Sus scrofa: one gene and its partners. The main gene of each other region encodes a partner of the protein of the gene in region 2 in a complex. Links are inferred from orthologs where the notes say so. Each region holds a gene or a part of one and is shown on either strand. Other genes may lie near its edges.

What was found.
Region 1: the proteins of RUVBL1 (region 2) and VPS72 are in contact, whole or in part, in a cryo-EM structure (PDB 9CA9), measured with the Homo sapiens proteins. The link is inferred for Sus scrofa from reciprocal best matches to the Homo sapiens genes RUVBL1 and VPS72. Residues at the interface, in NP_003698.1 of Homo sapiens: Thr136, Leu138, Pro140, Glu142, Met147, Tyr150, Gly151, Lys152, Thr153, Ile154, Ser155, His156, Val157, Asp173, Pro174, Phe177, Glu178, Gln181, Ala187, Gly188, Arg205, Thr208, Tyr209, Ala210, Thr211, Glu212, Phe213; in NP_005988.1 of Homo sapiens: Ile212, His215, Arg263, Thr264, Phe265, Ile266, Thr267, Phe268, Ser269, Asp271, Phe274, Trp277, Phe278, Gln280, Gly281, Arg282, Pro283, Pro284, Lys285, Val286, Pro287, Arg289, Glu290, Ala299, Leu300, Tyr301, Arg302, Pro309.
Region 3: RUVBL1 (region 2) and MBTD1 share a complex: the UniProt entries of both Homo sapiens proteins name them as parts of the nuA4 histone acetyltransferase complex. The link is inferred for Sus scrofa from reciprocal best matches to the Homo sapiens genes RUVBL1 and MBTD1.
Region 4: RUVBL1 (region 2) and PFDN6 share a complex: the UniProt entries of both Homo sapiens proteins name them as parts of the PAQosome complex. The link is inferred for Sus scrofa from reciprocal best matches to the Homo sapiens genes RUVBL1 and PFDN6.
Region 5: RUVBL1 (region 2) and WDR92 share a complex: the UniProt entries of both Homo sapiens proteins name them as parts of the PAQosome complex. The link is inferred for Sus scrofa from reciprocal best matches to the Homo sapiens genes RUVBL1 and DNAAF10.

The regions. Positions count from the first base shown.
Region 1 is NC_010446.5:98,064,943-98,068,774, reverse strand, and holds part of VPS72 (vacuolar protein sorting-associated protein 72 homolog), read right to left. Parts: intron 2,597-3,832; coding exon 2,444-2,596; intron 2,281-2,443; coding exon 2,166-2,280; intron 1,775-2,165; coding exon 1,598-1,774; exon of another isoform or gene 1,493-1,597; intron 1-1,492. UniProt on the Homo sapiens protein: Deposition-and-exchange histone chaperone specific for H2AZ1, specifically chaperones H2AZ1 and deposits it into nucleosomes.
Region 2 is NC_010455.5:72,198,829-72,203,304, reverse strand, and holds the start of RUVBL1 (ruvB-like 1), read right to left. Parts: upstream 2,925-4,476; 5' UTR 2,739-2,924; coding exon 2,598-2,738; intron 1-2,597. UniProt on the Homo sapiens protein: Possesses single-stranded DNA-stimulated ATPase and ATP-dependent DNA helicase (3' to 5') activity; hexamerization is thought to be critical for ATP hydrolysis and adjacent subunits in the ring-like structure contribute to the ATPase activity.
Region 3 is NC_010454.4:27,523,220-27,527,664, reverse strand, and holds the start of MBTD1 (MBT domain-containing protein 1), read left to right. Parts: upstream 1-1,364; 5' UTR 1,365-1,502; exon of another isoform or gene 1,503-1,823; intron 1,824-2,431; 5' UTR 2,432-2,495; intron 2,496-2,504; exon of another isoform or gene 2,505-4,445. Other genes in the region: UTP18 (U3 small nucleolar RNA-associated protein 18 homolog), read right to left, coding at 695-1,084. UniProt on the Homo sapiens protein: Chromatin reader component of the NuA4 histone acetyltransferase complex, a multiprotein complex involved in transcriptional activation of select genes principally by acetylation of nucleosomal histones H4 and H2A.
Region 4 is NC_010449.5:29,652,127-29,655,582, reverse strand, and holds PFDN6 (prefoldin subunit 6), read right to left. Parts: upstream 1,892-3,456; intron 1,885-1,891; exon of another isoform or gene 1,742-1,884; coding exon of another isoform or gene 1,660-1,741; coding exon 1,596-1,659; intron 1,400-1,595; coding exon 1,329-1,399; intron 1,247-1,328; coding exon 1,122-1,246; intron 869-1,121; coding exon 739-868; 3' UTR 638-738; downstream 1-637. Other genes in the region: WDR46 (WD repeat-containing protein 46), read left to right, coding at 2,203-2,403, 2,499-2,714, 2,824-2,904, 3,035-3,147, 3,271-3,358. UniProt on the Homo sapiens protein: Binds specifically to cytosolic chaperonin (c-CPN) and transfers target proteins to it. Binds to nascent polypeptide chain and promotes folding in an environment in which there are many competing pathways for nonnative proteins.
Region 5 is NC_010445.4:74,101,942-74,105,773, reverse strand, and holds part of WDR92 (WD repeat-containing protein 92), read right to left. Parts: intron 3,700-3,832; coding exon 3,584-3,699; intron 2,037-3,583; coding exon 1,902-2,036; intron 1-1,901. UniProt on the Homo sapiens protein: Key assembly factor specifically required for the stability of axonemal dynein heavy chains in cytoplasm.

The DNA of each region.
Region 1 (3,832 bases), on a different chromosome or scaffold from region 2:
CTGTAGCTCCGAAATGACCCCTAGCCTGGGAACTTCCATATGCCTCAGGTACAGCCCTAAAAAGCAAAAAGTAAAATAAAATAAAAAAATAAAAAAGTAATTTATTATTTTTTTTCCCTATCAAACATGCCTCTCCAGGATCTCCTATGTCAAGTTATAATGTCAGAAGCTTGGGAATCGCTCTCTTTACAGTGCCCTGAAACAATCAATGTGGTCGAAGGATGCAGACTGTAATTACAATGATATCAGGTGACCTCAGTATTTGTGATGGTTCTCCATCATTTATGTTTTGAGAGATAACTACTGTTTTAAAGCACTGAAATGCAATTATACAGAGAGATATTTCCCATTTTAAAGCCAACATAATGAAAGAAAAAATGTTGTGAGAATACATCCTGAAGTTCTCGTCGTGGCTCAGCAGAAATGAATTTGACTAGGATCCATGAGGATGCAGGTTTGATGCCTGGCTTTGCTCAGCGGGTTAAGGATCCAGCATTGCCACGAACTGTGATATAGGTCGCAGACGTGGCTCGGATCCTGCATTGTTGTGGCTGTGGCTGTGGCGTAGGCCTGGGAACCTCCATATGCTGCAGGTGCGGCCCTAAAAAAAGACAGAAAAAAAATATGTCCTGAAAATGTTGGAAGTGTACTAAATCTTTTCTCAATAACTGAGGTCTTTTGGAGTTAAGATATCTAAATCTCATAACTATCATTAAACTGAAATAGAATGGGTCCTAGATATTCTGGGTAAACAATCTTCCACTCCACAGTGAAACTGCATTTGGGTTATACATGTTCAATTATTTATGCTTGGTCAAAAAAAGAGAGAGCAATAGAGAAATAACAAACTAAATACTGTAGGAGATTCCACCTGTTACTTAACTCAGTTAAAGTATCCTTCAGAGTGAGCACGTGATGGGAGATGTGAAGTCTGCTGTGCCCTCAATTTCTCACGTACCTTTCCTGACCCTAGAATTCTCACCATACTTTAGAGAAATGTATGGTTTTGTACAATATATTACCATATACGACTATGTACCCGATAGCATATAAGCTAAAGAAATTTTAAAGAATTTTTACTTTAAAGTAATATATCTCATGAACTACCTCTGAATTTCTAATTCTTATGATCATTAAAGTAGGCATTACCACCCCATTTTGTGAACAAGGAAAGAAAGATAAAAGTAGGCTGTAAGTAATTTGCCTATGGTCTTACAGGTAGGGAACAGCAGAATTACAATTTGAATTGAGTTCTACACAATTTTTTTTTTTTTTTTTTTGCCATGCCTGTGGCATATGGAAGTTCCTGGGCCAGGGATCAAACTCAAGCCACAGCAGTGATACCAGACCCTTAACCAGGGAACTCCTTATATAAGTCTTATATTACACCAAAGTACTTCAGTATAACTTGTCCTTTAGTGCCCTCGTAACTGCCTAGTTCCTTGTCCTTGCTCCTCATAACTTCCTCTCCCCATTTCTTTCCTCCGATTACCTTGTCCCAAATTGCCATCTTTCTGGTTCATTGGATCTTCCAGGTCTCAGTTTATCTCATGCTTCTCAGCCCTTCTACCCACTGTTCTCAAAACCATAGACTGACCCAGTGAACGTAAGTTGAGCTCTTCTGTGATCTTAGCCTCCCTGAGCAGCTCCTCCTGGGTCAGTGGCCGCTCACAGTGGGGCCCCTTTCGCCGCCGTGACTGACCCTGCCGCTCTTGTACTCGAAGGAATGTCTGTCTTGTATGCTCAGCTGTAGACTGACGCATGGACTTCCGACCTGGGAAGGAAGTCAAGAGAGGAAGAAACCTTTGAACTCATGTCCACCTCCTTTGTATTTTTTTTTAAATTTAAAATTTTTATTTGGAAATCATCTTAAACTTAGAAAAAAGTTGCAAGAACAGTACAAAGTAAATCCATGTGTTCTTTACCAGATCACCTGTTAACATTTTGCCCTATTTGCATTTTGTGTGTGTGTGTTTTCTGAATAATCTGAGAGTTAAGTGTACATATCATGGCTCTATTCCCCTAAATACTCAGTGTATATTTTCTAAGAACAAAAAATTTCCTTACATAAACATAATTCAGTTATCAACTTCAGGAAATTTAACAGTAATACAATACTTTATCATATTTCAATTTTGTCAATTGACCCAAACATCCGCACTCACTGTCAGAGCCATCATCCTGTAGTTCTAGTGGAAGCAATGCTTTCTCTTCTCGGGTCTTCTGAGAGCTACCAGCTGGGGTGCTGACCTTTCGAGGCCTCAAGCTCTTAAGAGGCTCCTGGGGACAGAATGGAATCAGACACCAGGGAAGAGAAGAAACAGGTAAAAGGAAGAGAAAACCAGCACTGAAGAAAATGGGACTGGTGTGAGGATCTTGAGACCTGATGAAAGAGAGAACAGGAATTAAGGAAGCCCAAGAAAACTAGGACCCCCCCCTTCACCTTATACGCTTTGGTGACTACTCGGCGCTTCCTTCTTGGCTCTTCTGTTTCTCCATCACTGGATGGTTCATCTCCTTCGTCGATGTCAAAATCAGAGTCCACCTCATCCTCTGTGTCTGACTGGTCCCCTTGATACTCATCATCTCCTGATTCCTGAAGGCATAGGGAAAAAAGGTTCTCATCGGCATCGGAGTCATTAATACCCCTCCAGGAGGAACAGAACTATTTCTTTCTTTCCTTCCCTTTCCTCCCTCCCTCCCTTTCTTTTTTGGTCTTTTTAGGGCTGTACCTGCGGCATATGGAAGTTCCCAGGCTAGGGGTTGAATTGGAGCTACAGCTGCTGGCCTATACCATAGCCATAGCAATGCCAGATTTGAGCCACATCTGTGACCTACTCCACAGTTCATGGCAAAGCTGGATCCTTAACCCACTGAGGGAGGCTAGGGACTGATGGCCTTAATCAATCATGGATGCTAGTCAGATTCATTACTGCTGAGGAAGGCCAGAATCAGTTTCTTTAGAAGGGCTGCCCCACTCTCCTTCCCAACTCAGCCTTTCACCTTCCTCAGGCAAAAAGCTTTCCGAGCTGATGGCCTTCAGCTCCAGGACCACCCCTTCCAACATTAATTGACTGCCTTGTACCTGTAGCACAGTGTTAAGTGCTGGGGTACAAAAGGATATGGTTTAGTCTCTATCTTCATGGGATCTTGCAGACTAGTAGAGGACAGGACATAATTATAAAACAAAGTTTTAATACAAGGCAACATATAAAGTACCAATAAAATGTTACAGATGGCTCGGGAAGGTTTAACTTTAGATTTCCTTCCTTTCGACTAGGAGTTGGCAAACTTTTTCAGTAAAGGGCCAGTTTCAGCCAACAGGTTGTAGTTTACTAAACCCTGCGTTAGACTCTAAAAAATGCAGAGGAGGACCTCCCATTGTGGCTCAGGAGAAACGAATCTAATATCCATGAAGACACAGGTTTGATCCCTGGCTTTGCTCAGTGGGTTAAGGATCCCACTTAAGGATCTTGGCATTGCTGAGAGCTGTGGTGTAGGTTGCAGACCTGGCTCAAATCTGGTATTGCTGTGGCTGTGGTGTAGGCTGGCAGATGCAGCTCCAATTCGACCCTTAGCCCAGGAACCTCTGTATGCTGTGGGTGCAGCCCTAAAAAGACAAAAAAAAAAAAAAAAAAAAAAAAAAAAAATTGCCTTTGACCACGGTTTAAAATACTGATAGTATTTAGATAGCCAAGGTCAAGGAGAGAAACATGGGCAGATCAAACAGCAGGAACAAAGGTGTAGAAGCAGGAATGCGTATAGCATGATTAGGGAATAAGGATTTGGACCTAAGTAAAGCAGGTTATCTCTGGCAAGAAGTTGTCCTAGC
Region 2 (4,476 bases):
AGGTTTGATTGCTGGCCTCACTCAATGGGTTAAGGATCTGGTGTTGCCGTGAGCTATGATGTAGGTCACAGAAGTGGCTCGGATCTGGTGTGGCTGTGGCTGTGGCTGTGGTGTAGCCTGGCGGCTGCAGCTCCAATTCAACCCCTAGCCTGGGAACTTCCATATGCTGTCAGTCAGTGTGGCCCTAAAAAGACAAAAAGAAAAAAGAAAAAACCCACAAAAAGAAAGAAAGAAAAGATGAAAGAGCCACCATGACCTTTCCATAGTAATCTCTAATATCATACTCCTCAGTATTGGAATTCTCTGAGCAATTCAAAAGACGTAGAAGAGACTTTCCAAACCTTATCTGTGTACTCTTATTCACACACTAGAACCTCTTCCATTTAACTATCCTCAGTTTAGGCTCCTTCTCTCCAGTGATATGTCCAATGAATTCTAAAATTTTAAAAGTATAAACCAGGAGTTCCCGTCGTGGCGCAGTGGTTAACGAATCCAACTAGGAACCATGAGGTTGCGGGTTCGATCCCTGCCCTTGCTCAGTGGGTTACAGATCCGGCGTTGCCGTGAGCTGTGGTGTAGTTTGCAGACGAGGCTCGGATCCTGAGTTGCTGTGGCTCTGGAGTAGGCCGGTGGCTACAGCTCCGATTCGACCCCTAGCCTGGGAACCTCCATATGCTGCGGGAGCAGCCCAAGAAATAACAAAAAAAGACAAAAAAAAAAATAATAATAATAATAGAAGGTATAAACCAGAAGGGTCTTTAAAAGACGACCTAATTTTTTTCATTAAACACTAGAGAGGTTTCTGAGGTGACCAGACTCTAACAAGGACCTGGTAGCAGAGATGGGACAACTAATAATTCAATAAATAAACACTCAGTCCCTATAATAAGTCAGGTTCTGGATATATAATACTACCCAATCTCTACCTTTGGGAAGATCATACTCACATGGAAGCACAGAGCATCAGCGTTAAGACCATGGATTCTGGAATCAGATGGACTTGAGTTTAAATCCTGGCTCTGGGAGTTCCCATCGTGGCTCAGTGGTTAACGAATCCAACTAGGAACCATAAGGTTGCGGGTTCGATCCCTGCCCTTGCTCAGTGGGTTAAGTATCTGACATTGCAGTGAGCTGTGGTATAGGTTGCAGACGTGGCTCGGATCCTGCATTGCTGTGGCTCTGGTGTAGGCCAGCGGCTACAGCTCCGATTAGACCCCTAGCCTGGGAACCTCCAGAAGCAGCCCTAGAAGTGGCAAAAAGACCAAAAAAAAAAAAAAAAAAAAAAAAAAAAATCCTGGCTCTACCAATTACCAGTTGAATGACCTCAAATCTATAACGTAAACTCTGTGAAACAACTTCCACATCTGAAAAGAGTTCACAATATAGTGGCACAAATGCCAACAGGTTTATGGTAAAGTATACTAATGTCTACAATTTATTTTGAAATGCAAAAGCAGATTGCTAGATGGATAAAGGAGCAGATATAAGATAAAGCAACAGAGTAAAATGTTACTTGTAGAACTTAGGCACACAGGTATGCACTAAACGAATCTTTCAACTTCTTTGTATGTCTGAAAAGTCATAATAAAATGGAGGAGAGACACTTATTAGAATGGAGGTGACAATTAGACAATGGAAAAGGAGCTGCTAAGTACAGTGCTTGGCAGGTAGAAAGCACTGGACAATGTCAGTTATTTACAGTGACAGGTCTTCAGTGAGCAGAAGCTGGATAAAGAGAATTTTCAGTCACCTTGACCCTATTGCTATATCCTCTCTTGGCAGAGGATGTTCAAAAAAGTAACCAGAGGCTTCTCTTTGGCCTTTGCTATTAGCACAATGAGGCCAGAAGGAACCAGTCTTAAACTCCAATTTTATAGCTGCTAAGCCACGGCAGAGGCCAAGGGCATGGGGCTGCCGTGAGAGCAGAGACTACTTATTGGGGGCTGTACCAGCTCAGGGGGCGCGGGCTCAGGAGTCAGAACACACGGGTATAAACTCCAGCGTTACCATCGCTAAACTGGGCGGCAAGTGGATTGGTGACGTGCCCGCTCCCACGCTGAACAGTTTCGTGAGTATAACGCAGGAGAGCCGACTCGGCACCTTCATCATTTACTAACAGCGGACTTAACGGAATGGTCAGAAAGGAGGCTGGCGGGGCGGGAGAGCGGATCGCGGGCCCTGGAACTCCCGCGCTCTCAGCCCGATCCCTTCCCGACTCTGAAGCCCCCAGAGCTTCCCTCTGACCGCACAAATCCCGACCCGTGCCAGGGCCCTCGGAGCCCACCTACGTCTAACGGTCCTTCTGCTCCCCGGCGTCAACGTTTGTCATCCGAAATGCAAGCCCCCGGAGTACAGGGACCTGGCCCGTCTCCTCCCCGCTCATCCCCTGGCCGCGCCGACCGCGCAGGGCAGGGTCGCTCAAGACTCGCCGGCCAGAGACAAGGCCGCCAGGACCGTCCTGCCTGGGGACGCCCCCGCCTCGGCCCGCCCTCCGGGCCCGCCTCAGCCCCTCGGCCCCGCCTCAGTGTCCACCTCAGCGCCCAACTCAGCCCTTCAGCCCCCGCCTCAGCGCCCCCGCCCCCAGCCCACTGCCACACCTCACGCGCGTTCTCCTGGCCCACGAGCCCCGAGGCCGCCTGCTTGGCCAGACCATTCTCGTCTAGCCCTAGCCCCTTCACGTGGCTGTGGGAGGCAATGCGCTGCGTCTTGGTCGTGCTCTTCACCTCCTCGATCTTCATCCTGCACACCTGAGCGCGAACACCCGCGGAGCCTTGAGAGCTCACACCGGGTGCCCAGTAACCACGCGGCCGTTACCAGGCGGTTGGCCCAGGTCCGCCTCGGTCGGCGCTCCATTGGCCGCGGCGGGAACGCCTTCACCTCCCACTGGCTCTTGGCCGTGCCCTTCGCAGCTGCCGGGGAGGCTCCGCCCACCCACTTCCGGCTGTGTCCCAGGGTTTGTGTCCCCGCGGAGAGCGCTTCCTCCCTGGGTGGGAAGAGAGGGGTGCTGCACAAAACCCGGGCCGAATCCTGCCCTTTACCGTACTGCCATTGGTGATGGCAGCCAAACACATACCCTTATGCAGAGCCCAAGTTCCACCTCGGTGTTGGAGATGAAAAAACAGGTTTAGATCTTAAGCTTGTGTTCACTAGGCAGTTTGCTGACCTCCAAGCCTTTCCTCCCCTGGGGAAGCAGTGCTGAGCATCCTCTGTGCAACTGTCCTCTGCTTCTCCTCGCCACCTCTCTTTACTTAAATTAAGTTGGCTGTGAGTGGCGTTTTATGTCCCCAAAACTCTACTACCCTGTAAGATACTGTAACTCCTAATACAGATAAAGATGTGGCTAAATTAGGCCCAGTAACTTGCCCAAGAACACACAGCACATAATCAGCAGAGCTGGAACTCCAGCTGAGGACTTAAGGCTTTGCAGCCTGTGTAACCCTCATCCCAGCCCATGACCTCAGATGAGACAATCATCTAGCAGCCTGTCATGTCTGGTTCCATGATGATATTGACACTCGCCCTTTGGATGTGCTCCATTGGCCACACAGTCATTCAACAAACATTTGTTAGCACCTGCTGTGAGCCAGACAAGAGAATGCACTGGGATGCAGATATCAAAACAAAATCTCCAGCCTTGACAAGCTCAGATCTTAGGTGGGAAACTTACAACATGAGGAATGCAAGCCCAAGCAGGGCCACGTGGAACAGGTGGAGAGCCAAGGAAGGCACCATGAGATGATAATGTCCAGACCTAACCCTGAGAGAAGGGTAACACCCTCAGGAGTAGATGGTATGTCACCATTTTACAAATGAGTGAACTCAGGTCCAGAGAAAGGAAGGAACTTGCCCAGAGCTCAGAGAAGCTTGCATTAGGCTTGAGACAGACCTGAAGCCAAATCCAGCTGCAGTAGTTCTGGATTCTCAAATCTCCTTGAACTTCTCCATGGTAACATTTGAATCTAGTTTCCTAATTATTTGCAAATTATCGGGTCAATATTAGTCTCTCCCTCTAAACTGCAGGCATTACGAAAATGTAGACCACATCTGCGTTGCACATCATTTTAACCCCAGTGTCAGGCACATGGTCTGGCTCACAATTAAGTCTCCTTATAAATTCAGTACAGTTCTAGACCTCCACATACACACACAGTCATGCAGTTTTGCTGCACGTATTTTACATATTAGATTTTATGGGATGTGGTTATGGTTTCTGTCAGTAAATAGAAACTTTTGGCCCCCAACTCCCCTTCTGCCAGAGCTGTTACATTTTTTTTTCTTTTTGTTTATTCTTATATATTTTTTAACTGCTAAAAATATTTCAAAATCTGATCTAGTCTAGCATTCTCCTTTTATAGGTGAGGAAATTGAGGCCCTAAGATGAGATGGAGTTGGTCCAAGATCATACATTGAGCAAATGTCTTTCCTGGGCCTAGACCCAGGTCAGTGTGCAAAGAAGCTGGGCCTGGTTGCAGAGCG
Region 3 (4,445 bases), on a different chromosome or scaffold from region 2:
TATCTTCTGCCTCTACCACTAACACAAAAGCGCCAAGAAGGAAGGGATGTTTTCCTGCATTGCTGCTTCTCTTCCAGTGCCTAGAGAATGCCTAGAAATAGCCTATCTTGGAATAAAAAACAGGTTCAGGATTTAAAAAAAAAAAAAAAAAAAGAGGCAAAAAGTGTGCAAAAAATATTATGCAGGGTTCTCATTGCCAGGAAAAGTATCTGGTGCCAAACTGGCCCACAGAGATTTACTGGCTAGACGAAGGCAAGATCGTTCTCAAAAGCTAGCTAGTCTATCATATGGATAAACTGTTAAAACAGACTCTCAGGCCCGTGCCCATGAATTCTTACTCCACAAACGAGGTGGAATCCCCGAATCACAAGATATTGAGGCAGGCTACTGAACGGCCAAGCGGAAAGGAGCACCGAGTTTAGGAGATGATGGGGTTGAGCTGCGAAAAATGCTCAAGACTTTCAACACAGATTAGTATGTATTGAGCGCCTGCTAGATACCTGGGAAAGCGGTTCCCAAGGGAGTGAAGCGCTGTCTCCGCCCTCCGGAGACTTTCAGAGTGGCACCCCTGGGCGCCCGCGTTCCCGGCTCCCTCCCACCTGAGAGCTCCTCTGCGCCGCAGGTCTCCCAGGCTCCGCCCCTGGAGACTCACCGCCCACCGAGCGCCCAGCCCGCGCGCCTCGGCCTCCCTCACCCGCGGGCCCCGCAGACGCCGCAGCAGCGCGTCCTCGTCGTCCAACACATCGCCGAAGACCAGCTCCTCCAGGCACTGCTCCACGGCCGGCTTGTCCTCCTCCAGCCTCAAGCGATTCCGCTGCCGGAGCCGTCTCTCCTCCTCCGCCGCGATTGCTATCGCAGCGGCCGCTGCTCCCGGCGGGGCCGGCGGTTGCCGCTGGGATGAAGCAGCAGCCTTTCGGGGCGGCCCAGCCCGCCCCAGTCCAGCTCTCCGGCCCGGCTTCACTTGGGTCTTCCGGCCCGGTCTCACTCCGGGTGTCCTGTCCGGTCTCGCTCGGCCCCTCCGTTCCGGCGGCATCCTTGGGTTTGAGAAGGAACGCGGGCGCTCACGTGGAACCTCACTGCGCATGCGCCGAGGCCCCTCGCTTTCCGCTGCTGCTGGGGCTGCCGGAGGCCGGAAAGAGCCTGCAACGCCTGTGAGCACGTGACCAACACTCTCTCGCTCTACGTAACGCCCACTCCCCGCAAGAGCTCCTCCCCGTGTGGGAGTTCCTCCGGGAGGACCAATCTTCCGAGTAGAGGGGGAAGCGTCGTAACTGGAGTGGGAATTTTCTTCCAACACAACTTCGCAGCTACAAGTGATTGAAAGGAACGCAAGAATGCTAGGGTATAAACTGAGGTGACGGGATGAAATTTCTCCTTTCCTTCCTGACTTTTAACCACTTGACTTACACGAGCCCCAATTGCCTTTTCCACCCCTTCGTCTTGGTACGGCCCGTGGAGTACGGAGCCTGCAGAGGGTCCCATGCTGGAAGACTGAGAGGAGGGTATGTAGGGAAGTGGGCCAATCGGGGCGCGGGTCACGGCGCAGGCGCGCTAGGGAGGGAGGGCTATGCTAATGTTGTTGATATCCTGGGGCCACCCGAGTTAAAGGGGGGAAATCCGGGGGCTGCCGCAGCTGCCACCGGTCTGGGCCCATCCGGGGCCCCCCCTGTAGTCGCCATAGTTCTGGGCAGAGGCGTCTGCCCCCAGCTCGGGAGGGGGCGCCGCGGGCCTGGGGAGCACGGACAACCCCTACCCATGAGGCCCTGATGGAAAACACAAAGGATCTGGTGAGAGCCGAGCGCGGCAGCTGCTTTGTGTGCCAGGTGGGGGGGACGCCCGCAGCTCCCCAACCTCAGGAACCCCTGCAGCTCCCTGACCCTGCTCCCTGGCCTGCTTCTCCATCCCACGCCCCCTTCACCTCCGGAGTCCCCCTCCCCCCTGCCGGCCGTTAAACGATGCGGGGAGAGGGGGTTTCCCCTCCCCCCACCCGCTCAGCCCCGGACTGTTCGGGGTTCTCTCTCTCCCCCCCCCCTCCTCCGCTTTCTGGACGAGAAATTTTAGAAGAAAGTTATTCTTTGCGTCCCGCCCCCCTCCTCCTTCAGCTCTGGCTGCGAGGGGGGCAGACTGGATTTGAGAGTTCCTTTTTTGGCCGCTCAGGGTCGCAGAGTGGACGCCTCACCTCTCCCAGGGGGGCAGAGTTTCGGTGCTTTGCAGGGGAAGGCGCTCTCCGCTGTGGGGCGAGTGCTGCGAGGCGTTTCGCACGTGGAGGTGGAAAAATTGAAAGGGGGCGGGGTGGGCACGTGTGGGAGGGAGAGGTGGGAGTGGTGTTTGGGAAGCTGCCGACGAGGCAGCCTATTTACAAGGGTCCTAAGTCGGAGGGCTTTATGACCGTCGCGTTCCCTTTTGTGAAATGAGAATCCTAACATTTCAGAGTCGGAAGAGACAGTAGAGGTCACCCAAGGCAGCCGGCCCCCGTGCAGCCTCTCTGAAAAGTGGTAGGTAGCCTGGCCTCTGCCCCAACCCTTACAGACGCGCTCGCTGCTTCCCAGGAAAGCCCTTTCCGTTCACTTCTGATTGTTGCTGGCCTGCCCTTATGAGACTCATTAATGTCCCTGTTAAGTGGATTCCGTTTTTACTTCTCATATTTTCTCTCACATCCTCCTCACCCACCCACCGTTCACTGGCCTATATTTTGTGTGCCAGGAAAGCAACAGCAGGGAAGTGAAGGAAGGCGGGCTGGAGAGAGAGTGAGGGCTGTCTGAAGACTTGTCTAGATGAGGTCAAATGAGCTGGCTTCGATGTGTGAGCATGGTTGATATTTTTCTACAGGAAGCTTGAGAAATATGATCTGGGGATTTCATGGTTGTTTTCTCTAAGTTGGACATTTCAAGACCATCTCCGTAGTACTCCTGTTTCAAAGCACATGTCTTGTTGCCTCAATCACTTAAGAATGCCTAAAATTGCCTCTTGGTAGAGAGGAGAACGGAAGTACTGCAGGCCCCCTCCCCACCTCCCTTTGACCTGTGTGCTTCAATCAAGCTTCCTTCTCAGCGCCCTCCTTTCACAGTACTTTCGTTTATTTCTTTTTTTCCCTCCAGTTTTTTATGATATTTGAGTTTTTTGCAACTCTTTAACATTTGCGTAGAGTTTGCAATATTTTTTATGCTCCTTGCATTAACCTGTTCCAGGGATTATCACTCAGAAGTTGAGATAGTTCAGTTCTACTTTTGTCACTTAGCATTTTTTTGATGTTCTTCATTTGGTGAGCTATGTTGCTTCCAAAGTAGTTTTATTGGCATAGGAATCTTGGGGGCACATGTTTTCCTCTTCCTAATATGGTTAAGTGAGAGTGAAGACATAACAGATAAAATGTCGAAGTAATGAATTGGTTGTAAAAGCCAGAGAGTAAATTTCACTTTGAACTCCCAGTCTGCTGTTTAAAATGTTAGAGCACAGAAATTTTTGTCTCTCCCCCTTTTTATGACTCGGAGACTGTTTCTCTGCTCTAATGTATTTACACTGGGTTTTTTTGTTTGTTTATTTACTTCAACACCAGTGAGTGTTGAGAAAGAAAATAGTTGTCCGTTTTTGCACCACCTCCTTCTCTGAATAACAAGAACTTCTATTTATGTAGAAGCCCATACTCCAAGGTTCTGGTGCACAGTATGGCAAAAACTGTCTTGAATAAGTATCTGTTCTTAAATATCTGATATTGGACCATATCTTTTAACTGTCCAATTTTTAACTTCATATACACTTTGACATGTGATATTTTCTCTAAATCTAGTCACTAAGATTTAACCTGAGACTGAATACTAGGTACTGATAAAAGTTAATGGAACTGTGTAATTGTGTCCTGAAAGTGTTAATTAATGTGGAGTTTCAAGTTCCTATTCCCTTCAAACGTGAACTGTCATGATTTAAGTTGAGTGACTTTGGAGACATTTGCATTCCAAACATACTAGACAGGAATGACTGGTTTTATTTTTAAAGAAGACACTACATTGTATTTTCATGGCTGGTTATATGTTGACTTAATTCCTGTAAAAACCTTCTTGGTTGTTCAGAGGCTTCAAACCCTTCGTTACCTTGGAATTTAAATTGTTTTAAATGTAACACAATAGTCAAAGGAAGGTAAAACTATAGCTTAGAAGTGAAAACAACATATTAATGTCATAAATACTAAGCCGCTAGGTTACCAAAAGCCAAGAGTTCTCAGTGGTTTGAATGACCACATCCTAAAATTAGACAAGTCACTTCATTTGGTTGCTTCTTGCTTCTGAGTTTTTCATCTTTAAAATGTTTGCTAAATAAGATTTCACTTTTCCACATTTATAACGTTAAGGTAGGTGAGGTAAAATGTCGTCTGTCCAGGATTTGAAAAACGAAAGATAAAAACATCAGGCCCATAAAAGAGGACGTACTTAATAATGGTTAAACAAGGC
Region 4 (3,456 bases), on a different chromosome or scaffold from region 2:
CCCTGGCAACCTCTCCATCCCTTTATTTGCTCTTAAACTTTTCTCCTCAGCTGTTACAAAACCTTGTCAAGTTCTAGCCACCTGATTAAAGTGATCCGTGCAAAAACCCCCACACCTGTGAATGTGTAAGAAACAATTTGAGGACAAAGAAACGGAAGAACAACATTGTGGACAACGTATAAACATGGAGGACGTATGATATCAGAGCGTTAGGTGTTGAGATTTTAAATCAGTTTAAGCTACATTCAAGCAAATTCTAAGAAAAAAAGACTAAAACGAATTAGAGGGATGCCAGGGCTATTTTGAAGATGATGGGAAATCAGCAGGGAGGGTCCCCATGTTTCATTCTGGGGTCACAGCTTAGAAAATTCTGAGTTCAATTAAACTCACTTTACCCAAAACCACTGCATTGCAAATGCCCTTCTCATGTTTCCAACCAGGATAATGGAGACCTAAGGGCTGCATATACAGGAAAAATGAGATTTGAGATATTTCATATTTCAGTCTCAATAAAGAAGGCTTACTCGGCCTCAGAGTGCCCAGTTGCAAGAGTCTGGACCTGAGGGAGTCACAGAAGCGATAAACATATAAGGGGAGAAGGGACCAGGGGAAAAGGTGGAGATGATTACAACAGAAGTGGCTGGTGAGAAAACAGCCAGGTGTTTTCACATTTTATTCACTACAGTAGAGACCCTTGAGCTGCCTCATTCCCACCCCCTCCCTCCCCCCTCCACAGGGTCAGGCCTTCCCAGGAGCCCCTGCCTTGGCTGCCTGGGCCCGCTGGAACTCCTGCTGCAGCTGAGCCAGGGTCTCCCTCTGTTGCTCTGACTGGCGCTCCAGTTCCCGGAGTTGGGATTCGTATCGCTTACTGAGGAAGACAGAACACCAAAAACGGTGAGGTCTTAATGAGACTTACTGCTGAGGATGCTGAAGGCAGGAAGGAGATTGGTGGGGAACGTGAGATCCAAGGGAGGGAGGAGAAGAGGGGTTAAAAGGAAAGCGGCTGGAGGAACTGGGTGGTGGTGGTGGTGGGAACAGCTCTGGAAGCTACTCTACAAGGCTTTCTCAACACGTCTTCCACCGTGGCATGTCTGTCAGAAGGTGCTGGAACAAAGACTCACATTTCAGCTGTGATGTAGTCCAGCCTTTTCCCCACTGTGGCTCGAGCCTCTCCCAGCTCCTGTTTGACCAGCACGGGACCCAGAAGTTTAAAGACCACGTTGGATCCATCCAGCAGGGCCAGTTCCTGATGGAGGGGCAGGACATCTGTGATCAGAAACATTGCCAGGACAAGTTCCCTCCTCGCCCCACAAATCCTGTGCTCTCACCTCCTTCACGATATTATTTTCTGTTAGTTGTGCTTCTAGTTTCTGCCTCCCTGACATGGACTTACTCAAGTCTGGCGGGTGGGAGGGAAGACTTGATTAAAGACATCAGATATGCCACCCAATCCCTACCGTCCTGGTGAGAAATGGAGCGACAAGGACGGGAACACCATGGAGGTGGGGAAGGGGCACGGGTGGGATGGAGAGGGGCAGGACGCATCTTGTAAGGCTTCGGGTAGTGAGAGAACCGGGACAACCCCGTTCCCCTACCCTTCTGTAGCTGTTGATATTTCTCCACTTCTCCCTGTAGCTTCTTCTGGATCAGCTCAGCCATGGCGAGGACGAAACTCCGCGGGAAGAGGGAGAGGGGCGCTGGGTTGCACACTCTGGAAGGTACCCGAGCTCCCCTTTCCGGCCTGCGGAAATGACAGCCCTCTTGAGAAGCAGCCCCTCGGGGCACCGCAGTCTCCCCCCGTCCGAGATATCGACTCCACCCCTGCTCTAGGCGGCAGCGGGGGAAAAGAGACCCCAGAGCCCTCAACCGAACGCCTGCTCTATCTACTCACGTTCTTCTTTCAGTGTTGGTGAACCCGGAAGTAAACAGAGAATGCTGGGAAGAGACGGCGCCGGAAGCTCTCGTCTGACGCATGCCGGGAACTGTAGTTCTCACTTGTTAGACGAGTGGCGTTTTTCTAAAAGGCTGGACTCGGAACGTTCTAGGCAACATGCGGAAACGAAGCTGGAAAAAGGAACTGCACAGTCAACTTGAGTCCTGGCTCCGGACCACCTCTCTTTCATTACTCAAGCATAAACTGCCTCACGGGGGCGGGGCCAAGGTCTGCCCCCCACCTCACTGGAGAGAGCGCCCTCACCCAAGATGGCGCCTCGAGGGCTTCGAACCTGGGGCGGAGCTGATTGGATGAGGGCCGGAAGACTTCCGGGAGTTTTCAATCCGACTGTGGGACAGCTGAGAGGAGTTTGCACGTGTGTCGCGGTTCGGGTGGGCTTGATGGAGACAGCCCCCAAGCCTGGCAGTGATGTCCCGCCCAAGAAGGACAGACTTCAGGCCAAGAGAAAGGTAGAGACCTCCTTGGGTTGAAAGGAAAGTTTTTGGCTGAGGGGTTGGAGGGGCGGGGAGGAGGCAGCGGAATATCAGGGGTCCTGATCTGCCAGCAGAAACCTCGGCGATACTGGGAGGAAGAGACCGCTCCGACAGCTGCCGGAGCCTCTCCGGGTCCCCCTCGTAAACAGAAGAAGAATCGAGAGGCCCGCCCTCAGAAGCCAAAGAACGCTCCCATCCAAAAGAAGTCTCGGTTCCCCAAGAAGCCCCAGGTCCCAAAGAAATCCCAAGAATGGAGGAGTCCAGGCCCTCAGCGGAGCTTGTCTGGGGTGAGCCTGGGACCTTATACGGTGGCGAGGCAAGTCTCCTCGTGCTTTGAGGGTACGAGAGTTGGGATCAACCCGAGCCTGTTTACTAATTGCCCCATTCCTGTCCCAGGCCCAGGACCCGTTTGCAGGCCCCGCCCCTGTCCCTGTGGAGGTAGTTCGAAAGTTCCGTCGCATCGACAAATCCAAAAAGGTGAGAACCGGTCGGAGAGTGGGGAGGAGTTGCAGGCAGGGAGTGTCTGGGTGAGCTGGATGGAGGCGCGGTCAGGTGGCTCTCCTGTAACCCCCATACTCGCCCATTCCTCTCCCACCAATGATTGTAGCTGCCCCGTTCCAAGTCCAAAGCCCAAAGCCGGCTTGATGCTGCTGAAGCTGAGGAAGAGGAAATAAGCGTCAAAGCTGCTCGTTCTGAGCTGCTGCTGGCTGAGGAACCTGGGTAAGTGGACCGTAATGTGGGCCTCCCCAGCTCCTGGTTTATGAGGCTCTCATTTCTCACTTTTATGTTGATACACTGACTTCACATCGGAAAGCTGAATGCAACCCTGACATTCACTGGCAGGTTTCTGGAAGGTGAGGATGGGGAGGACACAGCAAGGATACGCCAGGCTGACATCGCAGAGGCTGTGGATATTGCAAGTGCAGCCAAGGTGAGCCTGAGGGTGTAAAAGGATCCAGCGGGCTGACTGGGGTGCAGAGCAGGATGGAAGTGGGGCTAGAAGAAAATATTACTGAAGGGACCCAATTT
Region 5 (3,832 bases), on a different chromosome or scaffold from region 2:
GCAGCAGTGAAAGTGCTGAGTCCTAACCACTAGACCACTAGGGAACTCCCTGAATTTTTTTTAAAAATAGATCTTTTTAGACCAGTTTTAGGTTCACAGCAAAACTGAGTGGCACGTACCAAGTATTCCCATAAACAGAATGAACTTTAATGTAAAGCTTCCAGTCTAATCAATTTACACCACTGACTTGACTTGTTTCAAAATAAGGATCAGGAGGACTTATCAGTCACGTTGGATGAAAAGATCAAAATGGCAACTGGATGAAGGTTAACAGCTTTTAGCACCTTAACAACAGCCAGTGAATCAATCCTAATAGTGCTAGATTCTATTTGGGGGGACCTGCAGGGAGTAGGAGAGAGGGAGGGAGAGTGACAGGGGAGAAAAGATTTCTGCTTTGCAGAAGCAGTGAGACTAGCTAACTTGATCTAAGCTATGCATAAGACACTCTGCATTTTAGCTAATGATCAGTCCTGACATTTGATTTTAATAGTCTTTTAAGACAATTATCATTAGCAAAGAAAAATGCATATCTCAAAATCCACACCTGAAGTCTGTGAGACTCTCAAGTGAATAGGTTCAAGCTGTTAAACCTTAATTTGTTTTGTAGTTTAAACCTATCTTTTTCTCCTGGAAGCTAATGGAAAAAAAAAAAAAAAAAAAAAAACAAGAGAGGAAATGACCCGTTAAAATGCACCAGTCATTTACCTGACAGATTTAGCAATTCCTGGATTTAGCAATTACTGGATAAATGTAACCAAAAAATTTTGGAGACACATGGCAATTTTCAGATACTGACAAATGAGTTGCAACTGTATTTGGAATAATTTAGTAAGTGCTTTGTGTTGTTGATAGATACTTAATATATTCCAAAATGACAAAGGCAAAACAATAGAACAGTGTATAGTTAGTTATCCTAAGAGTTTAATCAGACAGTGACAGTCATTTATGTGCAATAATAATCATTTTAATAATCAAAGAAAAAAGAACAGGAAGGTTTGAGAAGTACTACTGACTCCATGATAGAGGAAAGGGAGCAAGGGAGTGAATTTTTATTTCCTGAGCAACTTACTTATGTTAATCTTACGGAAACTACAGAAACTACAAATCCGTAACTGGTTTTTCATTTTTCTTCTCAAGGAAGCTCAGAGTCACATTTCCAACCTATCTCTTGCAGAGGATGGGCTGTTTCAGCATGAATTGCATGCAATCCCACTGCTTTATATATCAATTTCATTTTTTTATACCAGTGTTTTCCATTTGCGCCACTTTCTTCATCACATTTTCTAATATTGCAATATCCTGTTTCCCTCTAAGCTTCCTCAACTACTATTTAGAACAAGGCAAAGTATGTACATATACATGTATGAATAAATGAATAAATTTTGAGTAAAACTATGTACCACAGTGATTAGCACTTTAAATAATTTCATTTTATATATCAAACTGGAATATAAAACGAAATGTGATGAAATGACATAATGCATATATGTTGATATAGTTTAAAAGATATATAATTAGTATTAAGCAAAGGTATATACAAGCATTTACCTAAAAGTATATAATTAGGTATTAATACAAATATGATATATTTATTAGGAAACACCAAGCTTGGTTTAGTTGATCAAATTCCTAAATCAGCTACTTTTTTTGTGATTGCTTCTTAAGTACAAAATGAGAATCAGAGCCAACTGAGGCCTTTATGATAATCACCAAGTCTAAAGTTGAAAAACTTTGGGAAAGTGCTCTTTGCACAGAAAAACGTGTCAAGATTCTACAAGATTTATTAAAAATAGCTCCCTTCATGGAAAAACCTGGAAGGAACTTGGTGACTCATTCTATTTCTTAGTCTAAAACAAGCCATGAACATTCCTCTGCATAGAACACACTCCCCTCATATTTACCTTTTCTGAAACGGAAGCAAAACCTTTGGTTGGATGCTGTGTTCTCATGTCAAAAACATGAAACTTTCCTTCCAGAGATGTAGCTACTAATTTATTCATACTTATGTCTTTTCTGTCAAACTCCAAGCTACATACCTGGAAACGGAGAATATTTATTATTAATGGTCTCATGATTATTATTCAAGAGGTTCTTTCAAACTAAGTAAAACAATTTTTTAAAATTAGTGGCTCAGGGAGATCCTGCTGTGCCTCAGCAGAAATGAACCTGACTAATATCCATGAGAATGCAGGTTCAAACCCTGGCCTCGCTCAGTGGGTCAAGGATCTGGTGTTCTGTGAGCTGTGGTGCAGGTCAGCAGCTGCAGCTCTGATTCAGTTCCTAGCCTGGGAACCTCCATATGCTGAGGGAAGCAGCCCTAGAAAAAAGGCCAAAAAAATTAAAAAAATAAAAAATAGAAAATAAAAAGCATTTTAAATAACCATTTTTATCTTTTGAGTCAATATATCAAATACTTGTAACTACAAAAATTTCTTCTTGGTTAATAAGATTCATAGAAAGCATTTTAAATAATCATTTTTATCTTTTGAGTCAATATATCAAATACTTGTAACTACAAAAATTTCTTCTTGGTTAATAAGATTCATAGAACCAGCTAGAGTACATCTAGAAAGCCATAACTTTTTACCACTGTTATTTAATTCTTTTATAAAGCTGAACAAAGGTTGACTAGAGAGAACAAGAGGGAACCACATGCTTCACTCAAGATGTACAACTCAGGAACCAAAAATCTAATAGTACTTGGGAGTCTATTACATTTCAGACTTCCTAATAATATCAGAAAAAGGCCTCCTCTAGCTCATTTTAATACCACACTGGAAAAAATTAAAAGGAGAAAAAAGAAAAAAATTTAAATTAGCCCCCCCAAAACATAATACCACACTGCGTGGCCCACAGGGTCCACAGATGAGCCATAGGGGCTGTGATCTACCTGGCACTGTCATATCACATGAGGGTGTGTGTTAATTTGCTAAAGAGAGGATCTCTGATTTTTTTTTTTTTTTTTTTTTTTTGCTTTTTAGGGTTGAACATTAGGTGTATGCAAGTTCTCAGTTCCCAGGCTAGGGGCTGAATCTGAGCTGCAGCTGCCAGCTTGCGCCACAGCCACAGCAACACAGAATCCGAGTTGTGTCTGCAACCTATACCACAGCTCGTGGCAATGCTGGATACTTAACCCACTAAGCATCCTCATGGATACTATTCAGGTTCGTTACTGCTGAACCACAACAGGAACTCCAAAGATTCCTGATTTTTACTGGATCCTCAAAGGACTCTACAGCCCCCAAAGGATAAGAACTATCAACAGATGGGTTGTACTTAGATGAGTTATTAGAGTTGCTTTCCTTTGGTTATTTTTTTTTTCTTTTTCAGCCATACCTTCAACATATGGAAGCTCCCAGGCCAGGGGTCGAATCAACTGGAGCTTCGACCTACACCCACAGCCGCAGCAATGCTGGATCCTTAACCCACTGCGCTGGGCTAGGGATAGAACCCGAGCCTCCACAGAGACAAGCCAGATTATTAACTCACTGTGCCACCACAGGAACTCCTGCTTTTGTAATATAGTTCAGAGGTGGGTAAAAACATGTTCAGAGAAACTGAAAAGAATCCAAAGGTACATTACCCCGTTTTTTATATTTGTCTCCCACCGTAATGACATATTTCTGAGATCAAATAGTTTGATATCTCCGTTGTCATAACCAGCACAAACGACACGTTCCTCTTGATTATATGCATTGCCTAGAAATCAAAACATGACATTTCAGATCTTTATAAATGCTGAATTGAAGGCTGCTAAGAAAAAAAAAAAAACCTAAATGAGGGAGTTCCTGTTGTGGCTCAGAGGGTTAAGAATCCAACTAGTACCCATGAG